Linked DNA regions of Drosophila melanogaster. The protein of the gene in region 4 interacts with the protein of the main gene of each other region in a pairwise test. Each region holds a gene or a part of one and is shown on either strand. Other genes may lie near its edges. The genes, in order: Bap170, CG16826, mil and bsh.

Evidence for each region.
Region 1: the proteins of bsh (region 4) and Bap170 interact in a two-hybrid assay, tested with the Drosophila melanogaster proteins (one large-scale study listed by BioGRID).
Region 2: the proteins of bsh (region 4) and CG16826 interact in a two-hybrid assay, tested with the Drosophila melanogaster proteins (one large-scale study listed by BioGRID).
Region 3: the proteins of bsh (region 4) and mil interact in a two-hybrid assay, tested with the Drosophila melanogaster proteins (one large-scale study listed by BioGRID).

The regions. Positions count from the first base shown.
Region 1 is NT_033778.4:6,634,435-6,643,137, reverse strand, and holds Bap170 (brahma associated protein 170kD), read right to left. Parts: upstream 6,627-8,703; 5' UTR 6,450-6,626; coding exon 6,208-6,449; intron 6,144-6,207; coding exon 5,128-6,143; intron 4,958-5,127; coding exon 2,151-4,957; intron 1,854-2,150; coding exon 852-1,853; 3' UTR 780-851; downstream 1-779. Other genes in the region: Fmo-2 (Flavin-containing monooxygenase 2), read left to right, coding at 1-135, 255-434; Trap1, read left to right, coding at 7,151-7,283, 7,360-8,703.
Region 2 is NT_033779.5:13,345,614-13,349,980, forward strand, and holds CG16826 (uncharacterized protein), read left to right. Parts: upstream 1-2,159; 5' UTR 2,160-2,183; coding exon 2,184-3,209; 3' UTR 3,210-3,407; downstream 3,408-4,367.
Region 3 is NT_033777.3:27,910,589-27,914,986, reverse strand, and holds mil (milkah), read right to left. Parts: upstream 2,541-4,398; 5' UTR 2,420-2,540; coding exon 2,187-2,419; intron 2,122-2,186; coding exon 1,998-2,121; intron 1,934-1,997; coding exon 1,705-1,933; intron 1,646-1,704; coding exon 1,560-1,645; intron 1,506-1,559; coding exon 1,326-1,505; 3' UTR 1,202-1,325; downstream 1-1,201. Other genes in the region: CG5003 (uncharacterized protein), read left to right, coding at 1-949.
Region 4 is NT_033779.5:19,764,947-19,771,512, forward strand, and holds bsh (brain-specific homeobox), read right to left. Parts: upstream 4,122-6,566; 5' UTR 3,984-4,121; coding exon 3,541-3,983; intron 3,069-3,540; coding exon 2,794-3,068; intron 2,405-2,793; coding exon 2,102-2,404; intron 1,683-2,101; coding exon 1,414-1,682; 3' UTR 830-1,413; downstream 1-829. UniProt on the Drosophila melanogaster protein: DNA binding protein that function as transcriptional activator. May play a role in the determination and function of cell types in the brain.

The DNA.
Region 1 (8,703 bases), on a different chromosome or scaffold from region 4:
CTGAAGTTCTTCACAGGTCAGCGGAAGTTTCCCTCCCGGGAGCAGATGATTGCCGATCTGGAGCAGGAGATCGGAGAGCGGTGGGGCTGCGGCGTGCGCAACCAGAAGAAAGCACATCAGATGGGCGAGCGACAGGTGAGTGTTCACAATACCCTGTATAAGAAATTAAAAATATTAGCTTATGTAGACTTATTTGTTAAAGACTTTTACAAGCAGAGAACATATATAAAACAATCTTTTATCTGTAATTTCAGTTTGTCTACTACAATGAACTGGCCAGTATCGCGGGCATCGAGAACATCAAGCCAGTTATCCACAAGCTAATGAAGGACTGCGGCAAGAAGTACATTTTTGAATTGGACACGTACAGGAGCAACAAGTATACGATTTTGGACGATGAAAACTTTTTGAAGAACGGAGAAGCTATTGTATGATGAACCTGATTTCATCCCATTCTAATATCTTACGTTAGGCGATAAAAAGTGTTTCACTGTAGTACACGAAGATTTAGCGGACTCTTCGGTTCGGATTCTTTTAACGGATTATAACTCAGATGTGTTAATTAATATTTTATAAGAACAATGTAAATCAAAGTATGTTTTGAACGATTAATTCAAAACGTTTATTTGCTAACCAGGAGTATATCTGATAATGTCCACCATAGCTCTTTAATTCTAAGCCTCGTAGAATTGTAGAAGTCAAATTAAAATCTTACTCCCGAATCTCCCATATTTTGGTGCTATATGGTATGAATCATTTAGACAAACAAGGTATGGTTTGCTTTTCACATTTTTTTAGTGTCGTTCTTACAAGTCAGTTAAATAATCATATTGATGGTAAGCTATATCGGCTTACTGGCTCAATTCGTACATGATGTGGGAGAGCACTCCGCTAGCCTCCACATTGCTAAAGGCGACATTGGCCAAGCGTGACTCATAGCGTTTCAGGCTTCTCTTGGCCGTAGCCGAGTAGGTGACCAGGTTGCGTATAATGAGCGCCGCTGTCAGACGGATGCTCTTGGTGACTGGACCCTCATTTTCGTCCATCAGCTCTTTAGCGTTCGTGTAATCAGTCGTGTGTCGGTTCATAGCTTGCATTGCGGCGCTGCCAACGACTGGAACCGCTGAAGCAGGACCCGAAGGTGAACCAGTAGCGCCTCCCGCCAATCGTTGGGCATGACCCTCGTTGCGCACTATGGTCACGGGAGCCTGGGTGGGCGCCACATTGTGAATCCCAGTTGCCAGGCGACGTTGCACACTGGCGCGCAAGTTCTCCGTTGTCAGGTGCCGGTCAATCAGATGCGTCATCAATGAGTACCGTTTGCGCGCTCTGTTGTCGCAGAAGTTGGGTCCGCTGCCCCACTGACAATAAATGTCGGCATCAGAATCAAGGTGATCTGGACAGTGGACACTGCACACGTGGTACTGCAGCTCGTTAAGAGACTTGAATTTCTTGCGGGGACAGTTCCGCCAGTCGCAGATGTACAACCAATTTGCATCCACGGGCATGGGAGAGGGCGTGGGGTTGGCATTCGGGCCAGAAGCAGCGTAGACGCTCTGACTGACAACCAAAGAACTGCTGCTGGGACCTGTAGTTACGACAGCAGGTGGGACAACCGTCTGTGCTACTACCTCTGATTCCGCTGGCTTGGCCTCGCTGGTTGCTAAGACAACTGTTTTGCCGCCTTCCGTTGAATCACTAGTTCCTGACGTCGTTACCACAACAGCCTGGGTGACTGATGGCTTGGGGCTAGATACTTGAGCAGGTTGTGGCGGCGCCGGCTTTTTTGCTAGGAGAGTTACAGTTGGTGAAACTGGAACGGGTGCTATTTTCGGTTTGGTCGCTTCGGAAATCTAAAATAATATATTAAAATATTTGTTTTAGTCATCTTAGCACAATTCTTATTACCATACACCTGTTGGCTATTTAGAAAAGAGATCCTGTAAAACCCGCCACTCAAGTAGTGAAAACGCGATGGAAACATTTAAAAATGGGGAATGTGAATGTGATGCGATTTATGGGATTTAGAACGGGCATGGGCATATTATGAAATCAAATTTTAAGCTGTTTACATACTTTTCAATGACCCTTGTATATATACTTAAAAAAAAATAATAATTCTTTAATTTCGGCCCCAGTTCCCAACTTACTGCCGGCATGGTTATCTTCTGTTGGATGATGGATGGATGATGCTGCTGCTGCTGGTCCAACACAGATCGAATGTGATGTTGCTGCTGAAGAGCCACGCCTCCTACGATAGCCGTGCTGGTAGGTGACTGAGTGATGATCGTCTGCGAGTTAAGCTGGCTTTGCTGCAGGGGAGCCGGTGTGGCCGACGTCTGGGTAATTAGCGTGGTCTCCTTGATTCCGCCCAGAATTACCTGCCTCTTTTCCCCACCAACCGTACCGCCAACTGTGGAAGTAGGAGTGGAGGGGCCCGAGATTATGTGTTGCTGGATGATAGACTGATGTTGCTGGAGCTGAGGAATGGGCAATGAAGCGCCCGGCTTTGCGGCAACTAATCGCTGCTGGGGTGCTAATTGCGGCGAAACGAGCTGCGGCTGTGGTTGGGGCTGATGAAGCTTTATAGTAGCCGGGATCTGGTTCAACTGCGACAGCAGTGAAGGCGACATTTGGCCAGCACCCAACGCCGGAACTGGTCGCTGGGGTGCGATAAAGATTTGCTGCTGGGGGGTAGAAGTACGCGGTTGGGCCAGTTGTGGAGCTGTGGTGGTGGTAACCAGGACCTGCTGGCCCTGCGCCGTTGTCATTATCATTTTCTGAGTGCCAGCCACGTTCGCCGCAGAGACTCCTCCTGGCTGCTGCAGGATTATTATGGTCTTCGTTTGTTGTTGTGGTGTTTGCGTCACCAGCAGAGTGGGTGGTGCCGACTGCGTGGATGTCGGAATAGTCGGCTGCTGGGCCACAAGATACGTCTGGCCTTGCTGGTTGGTGGCCAGAACATATTGCGTCTGCGGAGCTGGCGTGGAATCCATTGCAGTCTTGGGCTGCAGGATCACTGGCACAGTTTGCAAGCCCTGATCCGTCTTTATGGTGGCCGTGGTGGCAAGTTTTAGTTGGGAATGCGGAGCTGGAGAAACCACATTGCTACCGGGGAAAACAAGTTGACGTTGGGTTGGTTGCACTTTAGCCGGAATGAGTTGAAGCTGCTGTGCCTGTTGCGGGTGCTGCTGGCTTTGCTCCTGGCTTGGTTTGGCCAGCGGTGGAACGTCATCCATATCCTCATCCTCCAAAATAGATGCCGCCAGATCCGCATAGAGATTGGCTGCATTCTTCGAGGGAGTCACCTGCGCTTCTTCCTTGCCGCCAGAAGATGAGCTGCTGGAACTGCTGGCAGCGGCATCTAAAGCCAGACGCTTATTCTGCTCCTCGTCAATGGTTAATTTTCGTTTGGCAGCTGCTGATGCAATGATGAGAGTGCGCCCGCTGGCGTCTTTCGTCACTACGTTTGCACCACTCAATGGAGCGAGAGGTGGCGGGGCCGAATCAGTGATTGGCTTCTTTTCGATGGCCATCTGGGGGTGCAACGGCTTAATGGTAGTCTGACCCACCTTCACCGGTGTGTGCTGCATTAGCGGGTTGTTCACGAAGGCGCTTATAGCTGTTGAGGTTACCTTGATGGGCTGGGTAGCATTTGTGCCCGATGCCGTGGTAGCCACAAGGGCTGGCGGCTGCGGCGTCTGAGCTTGGGCCTTCTGCTTCTGTTGGCGTTCAGTTACCTTGTTGGCCAACAAGCTTTTGATGAGCGAGGAGCTTGGGGGTGGCGTGACTGCAGAAGAAACGCTTTCCTCAGACGCCACTTCCGTTTGAACAGGATCACTAAATGGTTGCTTGGGCAATATTGGCGTGTCCTTTTTAACAGGAACAATGCTGGGGGTGGGTCTCTGTTGCATGGCTAGCGGCTGAGCTCGCATCCTAATGCCTACGTAGTACGTCCCAGGTAGCTCTATTCCGTCCAGGTGCCGTACAATTACTGGTCCCACCGATTGATTAAATATAAGCCGCACTAGACGAGGAAACTGCATGTGATTAACCACTGAAAGCTTACCCGCCTTCTGGCAATGCGATAAATATATTCTGTATAGTTCCGCTTGTTCCACACGGAGATCGTTACCGTTCCCAGCCCGTTCATACGTGGCTCCCAGCCAAGCCAGCGCATACTGTTCGTCCTCGTGTGTAAAACTCTGGGAGGCGGAGGGCAGACTGGGAAGGGTCACGGTGGCAGCGATTGGTGGCAATTGTACCTGCGGCAGACTGGGTACAGGCAATTGAACCTGTGGCAGACTGGGCATTGGCAGACCGGGGAGAGCTGTAACCAAGGGTGTTTGCTCTCCGTGAGGCAGCACTTGCGTCTGGGCGGGTGTAGGCGTGGGTAAAACTGCTGGCGGTTTAACAGCTACTTGCAGCGATGTTGGAAGTGTAGTCAGGGAAGTGGGACCTGGAGCAAGAATGGCGGGCATGTTCTGAGCCAGCGAGGCAGCCATGTTTCCGGGGAAAACCTCTACGACACGCATTAATATGCAACCGCCTGTGCCATATGACTGAGCCTCCACTGTGATAAGGGTCACCAGCTGGTCTATTAGGCCACGTACTTGCATCAGCATCGAACATGGCCGAGCGCCAAGAGCACTTAGTGCGTAAACTGCCTCCAGCGTAAAGATAATCATCATGACGTCGGTAAGCGAGAGGAGCAACATGGCTCGCTGGTAAAAGTCCAGGCCAAGGCAACGATTGATGTGCTGCGAATTGCCTTCTCGTCCGCACAACTTATAGAGTATCTCCAGACAGCTCATGATCACCGCGCGGTCGTTAGAGTCAATACCCTCGCAGAGAGTAGCTAAAAGATTCCGCGATAGCTCGTCAGTGGTGGGGTCTAGCAGCTCAAATTGTTGAGCCAGGTTGCCAGCGGTCTCGAGGGCCTGGATGTGAATGTTGCCTAGAACGAGCGAAACGTGTTTCAGTTATTTTATTTTAAATTGATTCTTTCGGGATTGCTATGCTACGCAATAGTCAATTTCCTTGCAGTGTATTTATGATAGCACCTTGATACTTCGTACATTCAAAGCGCCAAAAAATATAATTTCTAAGCAGATAAAAAAAACTTACTCCATCGTACGTTTGCTCCCATGACCAAATATCGCCACAACGTGCGGTTGGAGGCCAAGAGTGCATGATTCTCCTGATGAAAGCTGAGTGTACGGACTAGCTGGACAATCTGAAGCACTCGCTGGCCCATGCGCTCATCAGTCCCGTTGCTCCGGCGCAGATTAAGGAAGTGCAACTCGTCGCAGGCCGCCAGCAGTTCACTTCGAGCGGCAGAGTTCTCACCGTCCTCCTTACTTATCAGACCGTTGTCCAGCCAGGCCTGCTCATCCGTGTAGAGCTCTAGGACCTGTGGCTTGTCGTGTAGCAGGTCGCGCCAGAAACTGAGCTGCGAATGGTGTCGAACCTCGGTGTAACTGTGCTGGAACAGCTGGCGCATGGTGAAGTCAGCGTAGACTCCCAGGTGAGCAAGCAGCACATCAAGCAGTTTGGGGCACTCGGACAGCTGTAGGGTGTGGCGCGCCTCGTTGGCCATAAGTGTGCACACGTTTATGGCGAAGTCCTGCTCATTGGGCAGCGGAGAAAGCAGAGACAACAGCAGCTTCTCGTAGCTGCTGTGTCGGTGCAACTGCGTGGACATCTTGTACTGTCGGCGTCGTTCCACATTAACAGAGTGCTGGCGCTGGTTGTAGGCCATTGGCACCGCCGGCAACGTAGAGTGTGCTGATCCAAAAATGCTTCCTAGGCCACCACCGGCGCCAGCCAAAAAACGAGATCGCGAGCGTCCACCGCCCATTTCTACAATCTCAATAGCCGCCTCCAGAGCCTCCATCTTGTCTGGATCCTCGCCAAAGAAGTTCAACCGTTCGTACTTGTCCAGGTAGCGTCTGTAGATGTGCTTGATACTAGCCGTTCCGTTAACGCAGCGCTCCCGCAATGTCTCCATGGCGCTGTACACCTCGTCCCACTCGTCCCGCATGGTCACCTTATTAAAGCCGCCTCGTTCGGTTACCTCGTTGTACAGCTTGTACAGGTCGACATGCTTACCGCTGATCCTGGCGGGCTGTGTCAATGGAGTGCTGTTTGGGCAGAGGGAAAGTGGGTTAGGTCGTCTCCAAATACAGGAGAGCCGCGGCAACTCACCCGCGTCGTTCGTGAAACTGCTGCAGGTCCCTCCAGAACTCCTCCGGAGGTGACGGCGGCATCTCCTCGACCTTCTCCGGCATGATCTGTAATTGGGCGGGATTCTTGGCGCGAAGGGGAGTCGCTGGGGCCGCAATCTTGCCCGGCGTCTGTAGATCGCCCGGCTGAGTGGCGCTGTTTACGGCGGCAGCAGGCAGCGACTGAAGCAGCACCCGTACGTTGTCGATGGTGGTGGCGCTCATGATTGGATCTTTTTGTGTGGTGGCGTGAATGGGAAACACTTAACACATGATATTCTAATAGTAAGACACGCAGATGCTAATTAAAATTATTTAAAAAACTCAACAAAAATTACAACGCGACGCTGACGCGCTACAGCAGAGTTGCATTCACGAGCAGGGCTGTCAGCAATTGGACCGTATATCGATATGAGGTATCGATGTCTTTCAATATTGGATTTGATTTAACTTTCTTTTATTTACTGTCTTCTTTGAAGACATTTGTTATTTCATAACTCAAAAATCAGCATCCAATCTACATTGGCTAAACAATGAAACGTAATCTGTTCTTAATTCCTTCAGAATTTACGGTTTGTTGTTCACAGTTGAAACATCTCTATCTCTCTCTCTCTCTCTTGCTGATCGAAATCTTTAGAGAACTAGTCAGCTGGCAGTTTGCTTCAGTTTTGAGCTGAATAATGTGATGAAACTGAACTCTCCATTACATGTAGTAACTCTTATTCAAACCAACTAAGCATTTGAGTCCAAAATTCATTACAGCCCAGAAATTTGGAAGAAAACACCGTTATGAGTAGGGTTTTACCAGTTTACTATTATCGAATACTTACAATCGATTGATTTGGCTACACTGTGCACACATGTGCGCTGGAACAAACTTCGTAGTTGGGTAACATTAAAGTTGGGCAAAACATTAAAACAACAAGATGTCTGTACGAGCGATGGGAGTGCTGGGCCAGGCGTGCCGCCTCGGTCGCTGTGCCCAAGTGTTGAGGCAGAGTCACCGATCCGCCCCAGCAGCGTTCAATATCACCATTGGATCGCAGCATTCGCCGGGTGGTAAGCACTGAATATAAGCAACCGGCTCCCCGGAGGGATTCTTATGTTTACATAACACTCATCTTTTCACTTGCAGCTCTCTCGCTCCGTCGCTACTCCACGGAGACCAAGCAGGCATCAGGATCAGTGGTGGACAAGCATGAGTTCCAGGCAGAGACGCGCCAGCTACTTGACATTGTGGCTCGTTCCTTATACTCCGACCACGAGGTCTTTGTGCGCGAGCTTATTTCGAATGCAAGCGATGCGCTGGAGAAATTTCGGTACACCTCGTTGAGCGCTGGAGGCGAGAATCTGGCTGGAAAGGACCGGCCTCTGGAGATTCGTATCACCACCGACAAGCCACTGATGCAGCTAATCATCCAGGACACGGGCATCGGCATGACCAAGGAGGAGCTGGTCAGCAACCTGGGCACCATTGCACGCAGCGGCTCGAAGAAGTTCCTGGAGCAGATGAAGGGGACCCAGCAGGGAGCCAGCTCGGAGGCATCCTCGAACATTATTGGTCAGTTCGGCGTGGGCTTTTACTCTTCCTTCATTGTCGCCAATAAGGTGGAGGTGTTCACGAGGGCGGCTGTGCCTAATGCACCCGGACTGCGTTGGTCCACGGATGGCAGTGGAACCTACGAGATCGAAGAGGTGCCTGACGTTGAGTTGGGAACGCGAATCGTGCTTCATTTAAAGACCGATTGCCGTGAATATGCGGACGAGGAGAGGATCAAGGCGGTAATCAAGAAATACAGCAACTTTGTGGGCTCACCCATCTTGCTTAACGGAAAGCAGGCCAATGAGATCAAGCCTCTGTGGCTTCTTGAGCCACAAAGCATCAGCAAGGAGCAGCACCATGACTTCTATCGGTTCATTAGCAATAGCTTCGATGTCCCGCGCTTCACCTTACACTATAATGCTGACGTACCCTTGAGCATCCATGCACTGCTCTACTTCCCCGAAGGAAAGCCTGGTTTATTCGAGATGTCTCGGGACGGAAACACCGGTGTGGCTCTTTACACCCGCAAGGTGCTTATTCAGTCCAAGACTGAGCATCTGCTGCCCAAGTGGCTGCGTTTTGTAAAGGGTGTTGTCGACTCTGAGGACATTCCACTCAACCTGAGTCGCGAGCTGCTCCAGAACAGCAGCCTGATTCGCAAACTGTCCAGTGTGATTTCCACCCGCGTTATCCGTTTCCTGCAAGAGCGGTCCAAGAAGCAGCCAGAAGAGTACGAGGCCTTCTACCGGGACTATGGGCTTTTCCTGAAGGAAGGAATTGTAACCTCCAGCGACGCCTCCGAGAAAGAAGAAATAGCTAAACTTCTGCGTTTTGAATCCTCCAAGTCGGAGACCGCCAGTGGGCGCATGTCGCTGGAGGAGTACTACAACGCCGTTCCCGCAGAACAGCAGAATATTTACTACTTGGCAGCACCCA
Region 2 (4,367 bases), 6.4 Mb from region 4:
AGCACATTTGGTAAGCAATAAATTGACCCGCCAGCCGACGCCATCATCTACTTTAAAAGCATTTGTTGCCACACCGCCACCACCCAGAACCTGTGGCCGCGCCCCCAATCAGCAGCACTTGGAGCCATCCGCCGCCCTGTGACCTCCTCCAATCCCCTCCAGCAGTTGCCAGAGCGCCGTACTCGAAGCGGCGACGACGCTAAAAAGATACCGGAAATGTTACAGGAAACAAAATGACTTAATGGCCGCGATTGCAACGGCATGGAATCGTTTCAGGCATCCTCCTGATCCTGGTCCTTTTCCATTTTCCTTCATGCTCCTTGGTCCATAGCCTGCTGGCATTCATGGAGGTTGCCGAGGTCAGCAGAAAAGCATAAAGGAAAGGTTATGGCACGGCCATGTGCTGAATGGATACCCTTCTTCAGATCGTCTTTGTTTACAAACATATTTTATATCAATAAGTCATAGTTATTATTTTTAAAAAATAATAAAAAGTTAAGCACTCTTTTAAGTGCTCAAAGAATAGCTATTAAAAAAGGTACTAAGTTTAATAAAATACTTATCACGTGTAAGACAAATATATTCTATTAAGGTCAAGTGATATTTGTGATGTAATCCCACTTACATAAACTTTTTTGAGCTAGCATTTAAGCTCATGCTTCTCGAATTCCCCACATGAATTGCTTTTCTTAAATGGACCAGACTCTCCCACTCCACACCTGATGTCCTCTAAATGGAGCCGATGATGAGCGTGATCCGCCAAAGGCAAGTTACTGCCCATACGACCCGACCCGACCTCTTTCTTTAAACAGGTAATTGCAATTGCGACATCATTATCATATGCTAAACGGAACTGATTGCTATTGAAACGGTTTTGAGGTTTGAATTTCTTTTGAGCTGAAACATATTTCTAATTAAATTAATTAAGCGAAGCGAGAATATGGCAAGTATGCAAGCCAATTAGTGGAAAACGCAAAATTAAATGTCTGTGCATTGAGGAGACTGCAGCGGTGTGGAGTGGATGGGTGTAAAAATAGCTGGGAAAAATGGCAACCAGAAGAGTGCGGGATCGCTCCGCCAACCCATTGTCCTTGTCCATGGAGCACTTTGTTGGCCACTCCGGCTATAATTGCGTTGAGACATGTAAGCTTTTGTTTTGCAGTTAGGCGTGTGGCTGTGCGACAAAGTTAATGACAGCATAATTAAACAAAACTAACAGCAGACTAATAAAATGTTCATAGTGCATGTCGCTCAAGGCCTCGGCACATCACCACGCCATCACAACCCCATCACCTCGCCACCCACAATGCCAGCTACTTTCCATATCTCCAAATGTATATACATTTATACAATACATATACCTGGCGAGCATTTCATGTCGTTGTGTGTCAACGTTTGTCAAGCGACAATTAAAGTCATAATAAAGGCATGCTAAAGACAATTATTATGTGCACGTCCTGCCACGCCCCCCAAAAAGAACCACCCAGTTCGTTCGGTTAGTTATGCATAAAGTTCGCCACAAAAGGGTTTAACCTGAGCGTAAACATGCGCTCCTTTGTCTCGCAGGCATATAAATTTCAAAATTAAAGCAGAGTTTAACCTTTGTCCTTGTGCAAATGGCAGGGTGGGTCTATAACCACCTGCCTGCGATTGTGTGAGACCCGCATAAAGAGCCTTCGGTTTTAATGCACGCGAAATTGACTTATTTGATTTATTTTCATAGTTTAAGCCAAGGGCTTTTATTATAAGCATGCTTTAAGTGAGTGGATTTGAGAGGGGATTTTAAGAAAATGCAAGGCAAAAGTTATATTTATATTCGCGTTGTTAATTATTTATTGAGTACTGTATTTTGCGGTGATTAAAAAAATAACGTTGTGTTTGAATAAAGAAAATCATTGTCCTCATAACACTGAGAATGCATAAAATAATTTTTTTTTTAATTGCCCCCAAGTACAGTAAAACAAATGTGCACAGAGCTTTCTTCGAAAAGTTATCCAACCAGCATGCATTCCACTATTCGCTCATTATGGAAAGCGGCTGATTAAATATTAACTAATTTAATAAAATGCCGGCCTGCTTCAATATTGAAATAGTCAGCGAATGTATTTGCCCAAGCGCACGTAGCCGAGATATATAAAAGGTGGTCCAGGGTGCAGAATGATTAGGCTATCCGTTGACCGACGATGCATTCGACCAAGTCAGCCGTTCTCCTGCTCGCCCTGGCCATCAGCGCCAGCTGCGTTGTTGCCACACCGCATCCGGAATTCTTGGATGAAATCTTCGGCTCCATAAACCAAACTGGCCAGCACATCATCAGTGGATTCGTGAATGCCACCAGGAATGGCACGGCCATTGCTGGTGAGTTCCTGGACAGCATAAGGAACTCCTCCGCCCAGTACACGCACGAAACCCTGGAGTTTGCCCAAAAAATCGCAGATGCAGTTCATAGAGCCGCCACTGAGTCAATCGTCGACTTTTCCGCGACTCTGAGGGCGCAGATCGACGCACTGCATCAGGGGATTGATCGGGTGAGAAACATCCTGCAGCGAGAGGCACTTAAGGATGCTCTCGCCAGACTGCAGACCGTCAATACCGTCGTAAATGATCTGGAAGTGGCCGTGAATAACCTCAATGATCGGATAGACGAGAAGAAACAAGAGTATTTCGCCATAATCCAGAAGAAGTGGTACCAATGGTCTGACGCCCAATTGGAACGAGTGGATAAGCTGACGAATGGAGTTGGCAACGAGGAAGCCGAGGAGATCATAAATGAGCTACTCTCCCGGTATTCCGGATATCTGCACAGCTGCCTGGAGGAGTTGCAAGCGCAGCAAGCCACGTTTGAGCAAAATGTCCAAGAGGCCATCGAAAAGTACCACAATGCCACCAACGAACTGACGGACCAAGTCGAGCTCTGCGTCCAGTTCAACCTCAGCTTCCTGTCCTGCCGCAATGGCATCAATGAGGCACTACGCGGACTCGACTCGGCTCCCGCGGAGCTGCTCACCCTGAAGCTTCAAGGCATCCGACTACTGGCCATCGGCCTGAATGCCAGCGGATGTGTGGGCCAGACCCTGGCCGAGCACGAGCTGGAGAAGCCCAGCGTGGAGCGCAAGCTGGATGAGATCATTGCGGAGTACCAGGAGCAGCAGACTTCCACCGATGACGACTCTAGCTCTAATAATGAAACGACCACCATAAGTTCGTAGGATTTCGGGGAGTCATCCAGTAATGAATATGACAACTCCAGCAATGACGACGAATCCTCATGGAAATATTTACAAGAACGTATAGTGTATTTTAGGTGTCGGGTAGAAGCAGCAAAATAAATTACTCTAATGCAACTAAATTAGAAATTGTTTTCCTTCATCGTTTATCAATGATGTTTCTTAATAAACTATGCCAAGCTTCTCAAAATATTTCTTAACTTTGAACAGTACTTTAAAAATTACTCTACCGCAAACGTATTACCCAGATACCGATTAACTTCATCAATGGTGCAGCACATTTTTTGCGGATGCTAAAGCAATTATTTTAAAATTGTCATATTCATTTATTTAGGTAAGGCACGAAAGTCGTGGCAATTTAAAGACACGAGGCTTTAGTAGATTAATTATTTAAATGCATTCGATTCTGCCTTTATATGTAAATTAAATAAGGGTGCTAAATAATATAGAAAAAGGGAAAAAGAAACTAACTTGCACTCTTAGCACCTCCCCTACTAACAAATGATGCAAATGAACTGAGTGAATTCCCCTTAAAGGACTTCCCCAGCTGCTATAAATATAAATAGTTGTATAACAACAGTAACGAAAGGTATAACACTGAATTAACAATCTCAACTGCTATAAAAATGAACTTTTGTGCTTTTGTATAACAGTCAATTGAAGAGGACACGAAGCGCGTAGTACAGCGTTTATAAAGTTTTATGCTGTTATATTTTTCAATGAAAATGTGTTATTTCATATCGAATATAACAGATTTGCTATAATATTCAAATTATGGCTCCGTTCAACTAGCATACATCTGATTCTCATTTATAGCTCATACGCCATGTATACATAACTAACGTACAGCTGGGTAAATTACATTTATAGCTCATACGCCCTGTATAACACGTGTACGATTTCCCCTTTATGACTTTGCGAGGGGGGCACTAAATGAACCACTCGAGAATAAATATTTGCTGAAATAAAACGCAGGCTTTCTATCTTAGTTTGCTTACTTGCAATTTTATTGACTTCATGTGTTTGAATAGATCTCTTTAGTATCTGAATTTGCCTCTTATTACCTAAAGACCACTAAATCTGTTTTTCTGATTTCTGTTTATTATTTACTTAATGATTATACTTTTTGTGCGCTAAGCC
Region 3 (4,398 bases), on a different chromosome or scaffold from region 4:
ACCATCAGAATCCGATGATGAGGACACATCATCCACCTCAGGGTCTTCGTCGGACAAATTGGAGGTTTTATCGTTGCCCAGAAATGGTCATAGCAACGCTGCACCTTTGAGCGGAGGCGTCGACTTGCCGCCACTTCCGCATGCAGCCGATGCAGCCAATGCAGCCGATGCACCAATTGCAGTTGATGCAGCCAATATCGAGGCTCCCGGGCAGAGTCCCGGCTTGGATCCTAGACCCCCGCGCGCTTACATCTACGTGCCCGACGCTGAGAACGCTAACCCGCGCCAACAGCGTAGTGTTGTGGCCGTATTTGCGCAGGGAACGGAGCAACGGTATATCTATGTCAATCAACAATTCTCACTCCCGATGAATGTTCTGATGCCGACGCGACGCCATCGTACGCATCCGCGTCCGAACTACGATCAGGTTGTTCAGCATCCGATGTTTTGGAACATGCTCGAGCCACTGGATCGCGACTATGCTCGACGAGTGCGCCCACGTCCGCCTTCCTGTCAGACAACACCTCAATACTATGTCACCGATCGGGCGATGTATAGCTTTGGCCGAGCTGATCGACCGGTGCAACCGGACGTTGTCTGGATCCGGAACATCAATCGCTCGCCAGACAATAAACTGGAGCGACTGTCGTTGCGAAACTACCATCTCATCACAAATCATACCCTGGAGCACCTGGTGCAGTGCTCTCCGAATCTGGTGTATATCGATGTTAGTGGCACCAGCATTACGCTTCCGGCAATTCGGCGCTTCAAGATCTCCAAACCGAAATGCGAAGTGGTCGCCAATCACTTGGAGGAGTTTGAAAGACTTCCGGAGCTGGAGACACAGGAAGAGGATGACACGGTGGTGGTGATGCTGCAGCCACCGCCGCGCGCCGACGACGAGCAGCCACCGAAATCGCCACCGCCACAGGAGGTGGTGGCTCCTTAGAATATTGTTTGTAAAGATTCCGTCGAAGTGGGCCGTGCTGGATTATTTTATTTTTTTTTAAGAAAAAAGACGACATGGCCAAGCCGATGGATCCACAACGCTGGCTACAAGCGAGTGCTGTAGCTCAGCCATCTAGTATTACGTTTGACTATTCGAGTCCTTGTAATATATACACGCCAGGCTAAACGCACTGTATAAATCAAAACCACAATTCAATTCCTTTAGCTAGGCATTAAAAAGAGCGCGCGAGATCCTTTTGGTAAATATGTATAATGAAATGTTTATTTGGTTGGTATGTAGTGGGTAAGGACAGGCCAATAGTTCGGTGACTCGAGTTAAAAATGTATGTAAACTGTATATAAGCGGTGTAAAATGTTTACTTGTCGACGCCATCCTCCTCTTCGGCATCCGACTCGTCCTCGGTATCTTCCGACTCGGTCTCCGATCCGCTGGAGCTCTGACAATCGGCAATCTCGCCGGTGAAGAAGATCACCGCCTTGGGAATCACGCGCTCCTTTAGATAGAAGCCCACCTCAAAATCGTTTTGCAGCATAGCCTGTGGGAGGAGATGCATGTGAAAGGATCGCAGATCGCTGATATTCAATCTTACATTGACGTCACAGTAGTTGGGGTCAAGGGTATCTTCTGGCAAAAGCGGCGGCGAGAAGAACTCAAAGAACGACGGCTCTTGATTTTCTGGTCAATGAGTGAATTCAACTAACATCTGTGAAATTTGATGCTCCCAGATGGCTTACCGGTTTTGGTCTGGTCCTTGGTCTGCTTCCAGTCGATGACGCAGCCTTCGCACTTGTAGATCTCGGCGCCATCATATGCGAGCGGATCGTCTGGATCCGGCAGGCAGTTGAGGAAATATGTCTTGGTCAGCACCGTGTTGGTAAAGTAATCATTGGGATCGAAGTGGAATTCGATATCAAACTTCACCACGGGTTCGTTGTACAGCCGAGAACGGATGTCGCTTAAGCACTGCGCGGGAAAAATTTCAATTAAAATTTAAATATCCTTCAAATCGGATCTATCCATAACATACCTCTAATATTTTCTCATCCCTCTTGCTGATGAACTCGGTGTACGATGCTTTGAGAACCCTCAGCCAAAAGTTGGGCACGCTCTGATTGGTTTCCACGTCGCCGTGGTTTTGCTTTCTAAACTCACTGCACCGATGGGATTTTTGGGGGAATTGAGATCTTGTTTAACCAAACACCATTAATGGACTTACTCTAGAATCTTCTTGCGCTTATCAAATATGATATTGTGCTTATCCTCGTACTTCTTCTCGATATTGTAAATGTCGCGCTGCAGAGCCACATCCAGGTTAATGGTCTCCAAATAGAGCTGCTTCAGTTCGGTAAGAGTTTTCTTCTCCTTCTCGGTGAAGTTTAAATCCGATTCCATCTTCGGTGGAGCGGTGTACTTCATCCGCGGAGGGTTTCGATTTCGCACAGTTTCCATTTATGTTTCGACACGATAATCAAAAGAAAAATAAAAAAAATATTTCTTGAAGTGATTTGGTTTTGTTCAAGTATAAAATTTGGACGTGTGCGTTTTCGCTGTGACTGCCGTTGTGGGAATGAAAAGTAGCTCTATCAGTTTCCCAAAACTCCCAGCACAAAAGGCAAGGCCCGCTTTTCACTAAAGTGCTGGAACTAACTAGATGTACTAGAAAATATTAAGCAATTTATTATTCTTTTTTTTTAAGCTACATTTTTAAACCCTCGTGTTATTGCTGTTTTAGTCACCCCTTTCGCCTTACTTTGCCCATTGAGATGCAGGCCATGTTTATTGGCAATTTAACGCACATTTAATTCCTGCTCTTTTCCTGTTTATATATTTTTGGTTTCCCCAAAATTTTTTGTTTGCTTCCGCCAACTTTTCATTTGGCATGTAATTAAGTGTGGGCCAAAAGCTTGGACTGGGTGCCGCCAGCCTGGCCTAAGTGTATGCAAATCACGTGCTGAGTGCTGTGCCGCCAAGGGTTCAGGTTCAGCCATTGCCATCGCCATCGCCATCGCCATCGCCTCCTGGAGTCTGTTAAATGGACCGTGGACCCAGTTTCTGGTCTATCCGAGAGTCGCTTGTCTTTTGTCGCTGGTTTTAATAATGTGGGCCAGGCTTAGTGCCATATGTCCGGCTGTGAAAAACAACAGAAAAAAGTGAAAAAAAAGAGTGAAATTGTCGCTTAGGCAAACATTTCAAAATGAAATTATGAGTGGGCCAGTGGCGGCGGGCGAAAAAAAAGTGTAAACAAATTCAGCCAAGCGGAAGTCCAGACACACACACACACACACAACAACGCACACACACATCCGCCAAATGAAAGCCGCAGAGGATAAGCGGGAAAAGCGGGAGATCGCATTGTTGTGCGCTGTTGAATGTTTGCCCACAAATACAAACACACACGACACACGGCACATGCACTTGTCCAGTCTCCACAGGACATCCACCACTCGCTGCTCTCATATTTGATATTATTAAATTTTTTCCCTAAATACCGCTGGGAAATTAAAAAGAAATCATAACGCAAATAGTGTAAGGCAGCCAGGCATCTGATGATGACGGCTCTGGCTGGCCAATTTCCACATTTGTACGAGTGTATGCCTGCACTGTGCAAAATAATTGGTATGTATATATATTTCACGTCATTATCATTAGCAGGAATGGAATATGCAAGATAGTTAGGTATTAATCCAAATGAGATGGAAATCGATAGTTGGGAACTAATCAAGATCAACTAATCAAGGACTCTTCAAGTGCACAACCATTTAAGCTATTCGGGCATTTTCAATTTACATTTCGGTCATTCAATTAGGCGGTGCATAAAATGTAGCTACATAAGTAATGGAGCAGCCCCATCATCATCAGCATCATCAGGATCATTTGGAGGAACATGGGGACCATGGCCATCACCCACGTGATTGCCGCTCGTCGGAGGTCGTCAGTGCCGGGAGCGTCAACATAGTTTGAATTTAATTAAAACCAAAATTAGTAGAGCCCAGCAGAATGGAATGGTTTGGCGCAGCCCGACCAACCGGAGCAACAGTTACTTGGCGCAGGGATTAAAGCTCCTGCTTCAGCTCCTTCCTGGCAAAAGTGCATGTCTGCAGAAAATCGAATCAGGAGCTCAACATCCTCATCCACGAGCCAGGCAACCTGGCAGCCTGGAACTCCTACGTTTCCACCTGCTCCTGAAACTGAAGCAACGGCGCCATGCCGAAATATCTGCAACAAAAGCATAAGATGTAGTGCGGCATTTGATGATGAAACGACGTGTTAATTAAGGTCATAATAATTCAACTTAAATTGAAAACTTGCCCGGCCCCAGAAACGCAACCATGGCAGGGCATGGCACTCACTAACCATTTTTGGTTGGTCGGGCATCGGGCATCGGGCGAAGGGCATCGCATCCTCGGAATCCTGGCCAGGCTAAGCTG
Region 4 (6,566 bases):
TCTAGCAGTTTATTTCACATTGAGCTTATCAATAGCAAGATAAGCCCAAGAGTACTACTTATTAGTTTCTGTATTCACTGGGAAAATACAAGTGGCTAAAGCGACTGCGACTTGTCATTGCTTCGACCTTAGGTTGTATATTATTCCGAATATTATTAATTCGCATGTTTACCAAGTTGAGCATAACTCAATACACACTCGAAATTTATATAAAAAAATACATATTATTAACAAGCATATGTACATATGCCATTTAATCGCCAGAATAGAATTGGAATATGCTTCGTTGACGTCAAGAAAAGTCTTAACAGTCCAAAGTATGAAACTAAAAATGATAACTTCTCTCAACAAATAGATCCATGAGTTTTGATGACTGCAAAGGTATCTACATGTATATAAGCATATGGAACTCCATTCCCTCCAAGACTCATTCTTAATCGGGTAAACTATTAATATTTTTTCGAGAGCATTCCTGCTAACCCGTAATTACCAATCAATTTGAAACATTTAACTTTTACCTCCTCACTCTATTCCGCACTTGACAATGGGTGTCTCACTAAAATGGCTGTCTGAAAACCCGCAATTATTTTGCCATTGTTAAGTGCATTTCCATCCACCCCGATTCAATCCAATCCCACCCGCTTCCGCCCGCCCACTTGGGCGGCAGGACATGCGCAGGGCGTGGCAGTCGCCAACCCCATACATCAGTATTCCCGCTGCTTAACCATATTAGTTGCTACTTTGTGTTGTCAATTGGATTTGATTGCCCGGCGAGGGGGCGGGCATCAAGCTACACCACCCACCCACCCAGTAACACTTCTCCAGCATTCGCGTAATTCGCTCCGTTCCGTTTATTGTAAGCACTATGTTCTGGATAAGAAGTCGCAGGGAACTAATGTATCTTAAAATGGAAGTTCTCGAATACAATCACTAAATTTGATTAGTTATTAGACTTAATACATGACTAGAAAACTCGTTCAAGAACTCGTTGGTATTTACACGGCTTTTCGATTCAATTCAAATATGTATCTGGGGGGAAATACAACTATAATTATAGCAAAATAAATATGTTTCTTTTGGACAAGATCAAAACAGCTAGAGTAGCTGGATGGTATCTGTTATAATCAATCAATTAATTCAATGGTGAAACTGATGGGTAAGTTTCCACAATTATAAGGAACTATAGTTCGTACTAAATCGTAATAATAGATATTTTCAAAATGGTATAACCATGCTCGCGCTGATAATATATGTGTTGTTTTGTAACTTCTGTGCTTGTCTAATAGAAAAGTCATTTAGTAAAAGAAACTGATATTTTTTGATTTGAAAATCTCTTTTAGTTGTATTTCCCCCAACTGAAACACCGAAAACTTTACTACTTTAGGATCCAGGTCCACATCCCGATCGAACTGTCTATGTTAACTGGTAGAGTTTCGCATCGCCGACGATGTCCACGTCGCTGGAGTTGTCCTCGTCGCCACTGTCCGCCTCCAGATCGGAGTAGTCATCCGTGGAGTAACCCTGCTGCATCAGGCACATCTGCAGCTGCTGCTCGCTCGTCGGCTGAGTGGGTGTGCCGCCGACAGATCCGGGATTCAGTTTGCCGTGCTTGGAGTCCCCGGATGAGGAGGTGGCCTCGCCCGGCTGCTTGCCCGGTTCGCTGCGTGAGAAGTCGACGGGCTCTGCGGCATGGAAGAGTCAAAGAAATTTCCACAAAATTTAGAACTAATTTGATTTGCGTTGAAACTTGAGCAAAACTTTTTGCATCACAAGGAGCCGGCTAAAAGCCAAAAGGTCTAATTGATAGTCCAAAAGTTCCTCAAAGAAACTACTCACTCCAGTGGTCTAGTTTTTGGTGCTTTGTGACCAATTTGAAAACCGCTGACCACTCCTGCTCGAAATGCCTTTTGACAATTTAATTGCTAACTCAAATATTGCATTGTCTAAAAGCTGGAAAACTTGAGCAACTCTTTTTCGCTCTAGTTGTTCTTAACAGCCCAGAAAAGGTTTGAATATTAAATAACTTGATTTGAGTATTATAAATTTCGTAATATTTAATTTGCTCATAATAAATTTGTGATTATGAAATCAATATACTCACCATTGGCATTGTCGCGCCGGCGCAGCTGCTTTTTGTGCTTCATGCGGCGGTTCTGGAACCAGGTCTTCACCTGCGTCTCGCTGAGTCCCAAGGCGGTGGCCAGCTCCACACGCTCCGGCGTGGACAGGTATCGCTGTCCCTCGAACCGCTTTTCCAGACCGGACAGCTGCGGATCACTGAACACCGTGCGAGCCTTCCTCCGGCGGCAGTGGCGCAGGGCATTCACGCCCATTCCCAGTCCGAGGGCCAGTTCCGGCACACAGCCAGGCGCTCCGAAGAAGGGCGCTCCCCCGAACAGGCTGGCTGAAAGGGCAAAGGATGCAAAATTTGGTTAACTTCGTTATAGTTGGAACAAATGAAAACTTTCGGTGTTGATGGCCATTTACACCGAATATTTCGAGTTTTAGTGCCCCTAAATGAAGCTATGTGGCAACAAAAAACTGCACTTCAACATCAGTTGTCCTACTAATTTGGGTTTCATTTTGAAAAAGTTCTAAATGTGAAATTAAATGTTGTGCTGGCTTTTTAATGAGAATATGTCCAACTTCATTTTCGATTAGCTAAACTCTAGCTAGAATTGACTTTTAATTTCTATGAGTTCGACTTTAACTTATTACCAACATGTTTGTATGTACCAGTACAAATCAGAATCATCTAGGAGGATATCTCTGTAATATCGAGCATTAACTCACCTTGTGATAGAAAATAGGGATCCACGGACTTGTAGGTGCCCGACGACGGCGAGAGATATCCGAGGGTCATTTGAAGAAATCCGTGATCGGTGTAGGGTGCATTCGGATAGAGTACTCCATTGGATGCACCACTACCTCCATTCAGGGGCGGCGGAGGCGGAGGTTGAGGTTGAGTCGTGGGCACCGGCGGATGTTGTGCTGCTCCAGATCCCAACTGCTGCGAAATCTGATCTCCGTTGTAGTGGGAAGTTCCGTGTCGCGAGTGGTGGTTGGACCTACGAAGCAAGTGGTTCAATTAGGGGTCTATTGGTATTTCGATGTTAAACTATTCTCTTTATGTCCAATAGTGATTTTTATGCTAATATGCTTAAATACAAATATATATTCCCAGATACATTAAGCTTTATGGTAAGCCTGATTTCTATGTTTCCAAAATATCATTTTTCTTACAAAAAATATTCTATAATTTAAAAGAACATAATCCAAAGTAAGATTTTAAAGGTGTATGCTATTCCAAAATATTTGTCTTCAAGAAGGTGTGACTATCTATCGTATTTGATGTTTCATGTTTACTTCTTATTCTTTTATAAATTCACTTTGTTAATATTATCTTATTTTTTATTTATTTTTTTTTTATTTTAATTACTTTTTTTCACTTTTCTATGCAATTATATTGGCTTAAAATTAAAGTTTTTTAAACTAAAATTTCACTGCAGTAGTATTAGGCCTTGGAATTCGGAAACCAACCGTGGAGTGCTGTGCATGGACTTGCCGTAATCCTCGCCAGCGTAACCCGACGCAGCCTGGTTGCTGCGGGCAGTAGCCGTCGCGGATGCGGATGCGGACGCCGGCGGATGTGACTGCGGCGGATGCGAATGTTGCGACGGATGTTTGTGCGGATTATTGTCGTGGGCAAATGCGCTTCTGGCACTTTTCACCGCGTTTCTGCTGCTCTTTGGCGCGTAGTTGTTGGTGTTTGCGGCGATGCCGTTGGTATCACTACTATTATTGTTATTGCTGGCACTATTTAAGTTTTGAAACAATATGTGCTCGATGGAAAACGGCGTTTTTGTGGTCAGCATTGTGGTGGCACTGGCCATCGCCGCCGCCTTGCTGTGCGTGGGCGTGGTGGCGTTGGCATGAGCATGTGCGTCCGCAGGACTCAAGCTGGCCTCATTAAGCATTGCCATTGCGCTGGAGGATGGCCGAGCAGGAGGAGCACGAGGAGCAGTGATGGAGACCGGAGCCAGGAGATGTGCCAGCCAGCCGGGATATATACGTGTCCTTGGACCGCGCGCGCGCTTATGTTGTTTGCTCGTTGACGGTCGCGTTGAGTTTGCGGCAATCACCGCACATCAACCAGCAAATTGCTCTAAACGAGCTGCCAGCAGACATGTGCGAGCGAGCCGGCGATATGGTCCTGCATCCTGCGAAAAGGGGAAAATCGAAGGGGGGGAAAAAATGCGAGCGCAGGCAGTGCCACCCCCTCCTCAATCCGGCTGCAGTTGGCCCGCTTTGCGGTGCCCGCTTAGAGCGGCAATATTCGGGGAATCCCCGTAAGCGGGCACATGAACACACCCCTCGATTTGCATGCGCATAGGGTTGTCCTGCTCTGGCAGGATTTTGAGCACCCATCTCTCTGCTGGCATCCACTGGACATGCGATTAGTGCGGAAAAACCTTAGTTTAATTGACCCCCGTTAGCCGCAAATAAGTTGCACAACTATGCGTCCTTGCTCTGCCGCCATTTTGCGAGGCAGGCACATCCTGCCACGTCCCCAGCCGCCCATTTGGCACCCACTTGTCATAATTAACGTGTCACGGCCGCCATTGTTGGCTGTCTGGCTGATGATGTGCGTGCATTAAATGCCACAATTATTATAATTGAATTAAACAATCGATTCTGCTGCTGTGACAGGATAATTGCTAGGTGGAGCCAGCGCAACTGTACCCGCTGGGTTGGGGCCAAGCATTCGCCTGCTTTGCATTCAGATATTTTTTCCCCGCGCGGTTAATTGAATCAGAGCCCCACATAGCCGTACACCACCCACCAAGGACACCCGGCCCCCTCCGCACCCAACCAAGTGACACCATCGAAAAAGGGGGCGTGCCTCCTTTCCAGCAAGCCACCAATCGGCGAAGAGCTCGCCGAGGGGTTGCTTTCGCAACTATACTCGTCCTGTTTCGTCCTGTTGCTTTGAGAATCAGTCTTTCCTCACAGCGGAAAGTCCTTAATTCCTTCAGAGAGAGGGAAATATGGGGGGGGGGGGTCTCCACAAACAGAGCAGGAAGGAAGGACAATAACGAGACATCGCCGAGAGAGAAAAAGCATATGACGACGATGCGACCAAAAAGCAAGACAAATTTGCTCGTTTTATTAATAAAATAAGTCACGCAAACTAAGTCGAACGTCATTATTAGGTTAAAGCCCTAAAATGGGCGCATTAGGATGGCATTCGAGTGATCGCGGTGATGGTTGGGTCTGCTTGGGGATGTGCTGCCCTGTTCCTGGGCAAAAATATCTCAGCTTCTCTAAGGACATTGGGGGGTTATGGGGTTTGTGTTAACGAATAAAAATATTTAATTGTATTTAAAAGATATTAGAATAATAGTACTTAAAAGTGATAACCTAATTTCAGAAGTGCTCTACCAATTTTAAAATTATTAAATTAAAAAGATATAAGATTCATAGTTCCTAAAAAGACAACGTTTTTCTTTTAATATCTATTTTATAATATTCTTTTCATTTTCTATAAATCTATTTTATGAAATCCCATCTAAATTAAATTTTAATTTAAGGGTTGTATACCTTAATAATAAATATATTTATTATTATTATTTATTATTTATTATAAATATATTTATTATTACATATATGAGAAATAAAAACTGATATTTATCTTAGAGAAAGAATATTAATAGAATAAAATATCTCGAGACTATAGTTACATATAGTTTAGAGCTCCATAGAAGTGGAAAGCTGGAAAAAGGTATCCCAGCCAGAGATGAGCACTTCTCTCACCTGGCCGAAAGCTCTTAACTGGCTGCTCCGCCTCCACATCCACCTCCTCCTCCATGGACTACTCTTCGGTGTCATCCATTGTTAACCCGCTGACATGAACGTGCCAAAGGGCCTTTGTGAGGACATATATTTTGTTCAGTTCTTTTTGAGTCTGCTCGGTGGCGTGTCTACCTTGCGTTTTTTATTGATTTTTCTCGCTAGGTGGAAATCAGCGGATTTGCGAGCAGAGATTCCCATGGCCAACTATGAGGGCAGATCATATTTTTGAGCCATCATTTAGTCTGCCTAATTTCCCATTGTTGCACGTGCCCCGTCCGACGGACTGAGCCTAATTTTTATAATAATAAAAATGCTACTACGTCTGGGGCATCGAATTGCCAGCCACTTTGCGGTTTAAGCTGAAGGAGGGTGCTTTTCCTTGGGGCAATTACAACATTTTGTGTCAGTTTGTCTGGCAAATCCTTCTGCGCTGTCTACATGAACGTCTCCTTGCCTCCTTTTTTGTGTTAGCATAATTCCCTGGAATCAAAGCTGAAGTGTGTCACCGATCAGGTTACATAAGCCATAGGTCGCGCTCGACCTCGCAACAGGGGTGAATATTGGCGGCACATTGCCTCAGATCCTCTTTCCGCATTTAAGTTTGATTCTCGGTAAATTAACTTCTGATACAAGCAACACAAACTTGAACATCCTTGCGGGTCCTTTGTTTTTGGGAGCAGCGCTCAAGTGGCTACATCCTTACGCAACCTTTG